2 separate regions of the Mus musculus genome follow, and region 2 is reported to be linked to region 1. The links are microRNA targets in miRTarBase. Many come from high-throughput screens and were not tested one by one. Region 1 holds a microRNA gene; the other region holds the end of a gene's coding sequence.
What was found. The annotated mature microRNA mmu-miR-1941-5p reads AGGGAGAUGCUGGUACAGAGGCUU and lies in region 1 at 1,130-1,153, opposite strand. An mRNA with a match to its seed (bases 2 to 7 or 8) in the 3' UTR can be bound and repressed. Matches are read on the target gene's strand: a 7mer-m8 pairs with bases 2 to 8, a 7mer-A1 pairs with bases 2 to 7 and ends in A, and an 8mer does both.

Region 1 (3,148 bases):
CAGAAGTATGCGAGCCCAGATACGTCAGCCTTTCGGTATGCAGCGTGATCTGTGGCTGGCTGCCCGCCTTTCTCCCTGCTCCTTCCTTCAGAACTTCGCCTTCTTGGCACTGACCACCCGGCCCCACCCTGCCCCACCCAGCCAGCCCGGCCGCAGGCCCCCTCCTCAGTCAGGCCCCTCTTGCAGGGGACTGTGACAAGCCCCTTCAACAAGGCAGAGCCCCTGTAGGGCAGACAGAAAGCTGTGGTACGGGGAGGGCGGGAGCCACATCATCTAACTAACAGGTTGGTCTGGCTTGGAGGAGTCCCGCCCTCCTGTAGCTAATGAACACTATGCAACAGGTGTTTTCGCCTCAGTCCCCAGCCGGCCCTGGATGTGACAGGAGGCGGCTGCCAGCCACCAACTCCAAATCTCCCTAGCTCACTGGTGAGCCCTCCGGCTCCCAGGCCCAGGGGGGCCACCATGGCCTACCGCTCCTGCGTCGTTGGCTTCAGCAGCCTCAGCGGCTGTGAGATGACCCCTGCGGGCAGTCCCCAGCCTGGGACCTCAGGATGGGGCAGCTGTGGGCTCCCTGGGCCTGGCTTCAGCTCTCGAAGCCTCACAAGCTGCAGGCCAGCTGGCACCATCCCCAAGGTGACTGTGAACCCCAGCCTGCTGGTGCCTCTGGACCTCAAGGTGGATCCAGCTGTTCAACAGCAGAAGAATCAAGAAAAGGAGGAGATGAAGGCTCTCAATGATAAATTTGCCTCCCTGATTGGCAAGGTGAGCTAAGTGGGAGAGGGCACCAAAACAGAAGGGCCCCAGGCTTTCCAGGTGACCTGGCTGGTGGTTCCCTGAGCATCGGTCATGCCCCGCCCCTGATCCCAGCCAATGGGGATGCAGCATGGCTAAACCTGCAGAGATGGGTTAGGGAAACCTGATACATCCTGGTGTCTGGGGTGAAAGGAACTTCAGGGTGACTCTGCGGGGTACTGGATAAGGGTGCACTACCTGGCTGGGGATGGGAGGGCTCCGTGTACCCCTGTAACAGTCAAGGGGTGCTTCTCGGGATGGCCTATGGAGGTGTGGCCTGCTGACTTCTGCCCAGGTGGGTGGATGGGAGATACTGCTAAGATGCCCTCAAAACCCCAAGCCTCTGTACCAGCATCTCCCTCCCACCCTGCTGGCTTTCCCCATTCATCCGTAGAGCCACTGTTCTGGCAGGTCCAAAGGGGTGGGGGTGGGAGCGGGGGCAGAAGGAGGCTGCCATGGAGTTTGTATGAGTAAAGACGCAACTTTGGCTTGTCAGGAGAAAGGAATGTAGAGGACTGTGTCAGAATCCAGCCAGCAGCCAACAGTTGGCCTGCTTTGCACTCACCTAGGTGGAAGGAACAGGCCCCTAACAACATGGCCCCCACACTTCCTAGACTCACTGCCTGCAGCTAGCCTAGGGCTTCAGGAAGTCCTGTCTACCTTCCAAGCCTGTGCCCACTCAACCACTCCAAGAAGCCTCTGTGAACAATCCTCCCAGCCCTGCTTCCTCCTGTGTCAGAGCCGCACTGACTGAACTACACACTGGTGTGCTAGGCACCACAGGGCACCTCACAGGTTCACCTCAAATCCCCTTAACTGTAAAGAAAGACATCTCATGACTTTGCGCAGAACAGGGAACCCTGGCCAGTCCTTATCTGCCTCTTGGTTTCTGAGTCTGCAAACCCTTGCACATTTCTGGGGTCCTGAGCTGTGGGGGTGTACAGACAGACAGGCAGTGAGAAGAGAGTGCCACGTGTGGCCTGGATGCCTGAATGCCACAGGAACGTAGCAAGGCGGCGGTGGGCCAGTGCTAACTAACATCACTACAAACGTTGTTTTCCCAGCTGTGCAGATGAGGCAATAGGACCAGAGAGACTCATTGCATTGCCCAGAGTCACAGAGCCAACAACTGATACGGTTTATATTTAAACTCAGGTCTGTGTGTGTATGATGTGTATGATGTGTATGTGTGTATGACAGACAGACAGACAGACAGACAGACAGACAGACAGACAGACAGATAGACAGAGACAGAGAGAGAGAGAGATCTGAGGCAGAAATGGTGTCTTTCCCTGCCTCTTCTGACTAGTTCAGAGTCTCCTCATTTACATCCAAGATGCCCACATTGGGGGAGGAGCAAGAAGACCTTTCCACAGCTGCAGATGGAACCCACGGCCTGAGAGGTAGGCCCTGCAGAGGTGCCTCCTTGACAAGCCTGGCTAATCCCTTAAAAGGAGTGCTTCGCTGAACTATGTAATTTGGCTCCCATGGGTGGCTTTTCTCTCCTTCGAACGATTGCCAATGCTGATGTCACTCTGTGCCACTGCCATGGGCACCGGGTGGGAACCGTGGGTGTGGGCCCAGGGAAGGAGCCCTCACAGTTAGGGTCCTTGAAGGTCCTTAGCAGAACTCAAGCTTCCTAGCTCTCAAAGTTGGCCTTGAGGTGGGGTGCCCATCACTGTAGGGTACAGGGAACTATGGGTTCCAGCCCTGTGCTAAGCAGAGGCTTGGGAGACCCCAAGGGACTAAAAAAGTATTAGAACCCTATTTCTGAGTTTGAACCCTGGACCCACCACCAGTCTGCTGTGTAACTGCAGGCAACCTGCTGAACCTCTCTGGGCCTCAGTGCACATCCATGTAATGGGTTTCTCAATCAAATGGGACGACTTTTGAATAGTAGTTGGAACACATCTAGCAGATAGTGCAAGTTTTCTGAGCAAATAAGCCTCATTCAGGGAGCTCCTAGCCACACACACCGCAGGCCCGAAGAGGAAGGGAAAGGATGGGGAGGGGCCATAGGGCAAGGCACAGCCCAGGCTTCAGAGAGAAGTACTGGCAGGGAAAGCACAGAAAATGGATTCCAGGCCCAGAGCAAGGCTGGGATCCTGAGCAGAGAAGAGGAAGGAGGACTCCACTCCTCTCCCCCTTCGAAGCCTTCTGCCTCCCAGAGAAACGAGTGCTTGTGGAAGCGAAGGGAGTCGTTCCTCTAGAGCCCGGCAGAAAAGCCTACCACTGTGGTGTGTGCTTGCCTTGAAGTCTGTGTTTCCTTAAGTAAGTCACTTACCCTCTCTGTGCCTCAGATTCTGGGGCTCCTGCCGGTGGGGGGCTAACAAGTCCACAGCCACGGGGAAAGACG
Region 2 (3,000 bases), not on the chromosome of region 1:
TGCAGTTGGGCTTTGAGATTTCCAAAACCTACACCATTCCCAATCTCTCAATCTGGATTTATGAATCAGATGTAAGCTCTCAGCTACTCCTCTAGTGTCATGCCTGCTCTCATTCCTTCCTACCATAATGGTCATTGACTACCTCTCTAAAACTTTAAGCAAGCCCCCAATTAGATGCTTTTTTCTATAAGTTGCCTTGGTCATGGTGTTTCTTTACAGCAACAAAACAGTAATTAAGACAGTTGTTTTGTTTCTTATAATTTCTAACACCAAAAAAATGCATTTTAAAATATTTTTATCTTATTATTGTATGTATGTGAGTATAGCCATGTATGTGTTATAGCTCAGTATGAAGGACAGAAGACAACTGTCCAGAGTTGGTTCAGGCCTTCCACCATGGATTCTAGGAATCAGAGTATAAAAAAGGCCTATGCCACATAGCCACCTCTGGCACTTGCTGTTCCCTAGTGTAAGTTCAGTTAAAGAAGGTTCTCTCCTCTCTTTTTCAGGGTGCTGATAAGACTGTGAAAGGCCCAGATGGACTGACCGCCCTTGAAGCCACTGACAACCAGGCAATCAAAGCTCTTCTCCAGTGATAGATGGATGGACGGACTGATAACTTGGGAAGGATGACTCTCCTGTGGCCTCACACTGCTGCCTGTCTGTCTGTCACTTTCTATCTGCCAGCTTCTTCAGCTAAATACTTTAAGAGGGTGAAGGGAGAGAGAAATTCATAACAAATCAGACTGCCAGGGGAGGGGAATAAAACATGTTTTGGAGGAGCAGTGGGGAATGTGATGAGACTTTTACTGGGATTCCTGATCAAACCAGCCTGTTTTTCATTTCCAGTAAAATATACAGCTTATTCCCAAGGGAGAGCAAAAATACAGTCTATTGGAATCATTGGACCTTCTCAGCTCCCTAGCTAATTTATTAATTAGTTTATTGAAGGTCTGACTATACAAGGCCAACTCTACTTATTTGGTAGCCCTAGCTGTGAGCAGTAGTGGCTGCTGTTATGTCAACATAGGGTGCTGAGATAAGCAATTAGCTATAGCCTTCTGCCTTAAGAATGCACTCTCCTGGGGGCTCCTGGCTAGTTAAGAGCGGTTAGTGACCAAAATCTCTCTAGAATGACGTTAATCTTTACATAAGAGCTTAGATAAGGTAAGGAGCAGCGCACTCCTGAATTGCTGGATGACTAAACTTTGGATTTTCTCTCCCCTTTCACATCAATTTCATGTCTCTTTAGATAAAACTGACTAGTTTTATTTATAAAATGTTAAATTCTAGGAGCCTAAAGGAGGAATCATTCCAGTAGGCTTATTTCTTTTTTTCTCCTTTAGACTCAGACATTTATATAACATTGAAACACTTTGAGACTCCTTCTGGTAGTAAAGGAGATTTAAAAATAAAATCATAGCCATAAGCGTGTTAGTATCTTATAAAGAGAGAACAGTTGTCTTAGTACCTATGGAGTTTCTTCATTTGCTATTTGAGTGAGCCAGCCTTCGTTGTGTTTGGAGAATGAAGAATATTCTTTGGAATGCCTCTCAAAAACCCACCATGGATGCTGATTTTATAGTGCACCAAAGGTATCACTGGGGTGAGATGTACTGTATTTGGACAGATGGGACCTCATCCCTTCAAAAACATTCTTGTTACCATGTTCTCCTGAGCTGGTAATAGACTCTTGCTGGGCCAGTACCACCCCACCTGCATGGTGTTTTTATCTTAACAATCATTCTTTGCATACATGTGACAACTTCAAAATGCATTCTGTGTTCTTATAATACAGTGCCCTAAAACGGTATTCCTAGGACCTGCAGATAAGAGAAACTTATCTCTAACTTTTTCTTTCATGAACAATAAAATGAATTAAAACATACAACCTTAAATTTGATGGCCTACACTTTAAGTATTAAGATGTCTTTTGCTTTTAATTTGCCATCTATACAGGATTACAAAAACTATTAGAATCTTTCCATAGCCAATCATGCAATAATTGAATGTACCTCAAATTTTTAAAGGGTAGGTGATGGGATAGGGACTTATAATCACATTAGGGATAATAATATTAAAAACCTAACTGATTTTTTTTAAGGCATTGTAGCATTATATAGCAGGGTTAAACTATTACTAAGAACAATCAGCCTGGCTAATAACTATTAATCAGTTGATAATTGGTTGGGGTGTGTGTGTGTGTGTGTGTGTGTGTGTGTGTGTGTGTGTGTGTTCTCCCATGAACTCTTTTTTATCCTGTGGCTTTTTCACTTTCAACTAGCCTGCCCCTGTAGTTTTTCTATGTCCAAGAAAACAATCACAAAACAGTAGTTTAAATACTTTGATATATTTGGCTAGCTCTGCTGTTTTAATGCAGCCTACTAGAGTTGGATATCCTACACTTAATCTTAACCAAAAGGCCAAGCAGCTATAGAGTTGGACATTCTGCTAGGAAGTGGAAGGCACATGATCAGTCTATGAGTCAATATAATGCAACAGGGTGTTTTGAGACCTTTGTTTTCACCTCTTGGCATACTATTTTAAAGGCTTGAATTTTACCCTTTACACAATTTTCAATTTTTCTTTCAAAGTCTTCTGTTATAGTTGGCTATTGCAGAGTGTATATTGTCTTATCATTCCAGAACTTGGGTCTGCTTTCTACAGTCATTATGGTACCAAAACCATATGATTCTTTGTACAGTTTATCCCAGTGTTCCTTGTAATGCAGTAGAGGCTATTTTGCCTTCCCCCTTTGTTGGCCATTTTGTAAACCCATAGCTATGAAGTGATTGCTTGAGAAAATAGCATATAAACATAGACTAGGATAGACTGACCAGGATGGTTTACAGTTTCTTTAAAAAAATAATAAACAAAAATAAACAAAAAAAAAACTAGGTTATTTATAATGTATTTCTGAACCACTTGGCAGAGAAATTCATGACACTTAATGTTAATATTTTTGAATAAATGAAGCTAAAATGTCTGCTTTTGGTACAA

Region 2: the mRNA of Mtpn is a reported target of mmu-miR-1941-5p. Seed matches in the 3' UTR shown: 7mer-A1 at 2,237-2,243.

Annotation. Positions count from the first base shown.
Region 1 is chr15:101,367,369-101,370,516 of GRCm38, reverse strand. Mir1941 (microRNA 1941) reads right to left here and starts at 1,165; the gene lies at 1,083-1,165. Krt80 (keratin 80) reads left to right here and starts at 355. Exons shown (of 9, transcript NM_028770.3): 1 at 355-762. The coding sequence starts at 463. The region is part of intron 1 of Gm35853 (a long non-coding RNA gene); the gene reads right to left.
Region 2 is chr6:35,509,827-35,512,826 of GRCm38, reverse strand. Mtpn (myotrophin) reads left to right here. Exons shown (of 4, transcript NM_008098.4): 4 at 510-3,000. The coding sequence ends at 596. Among named protein-coding and RNA genes, the nearest start is that of Mtpn, 29 kb to the left of the region's middle.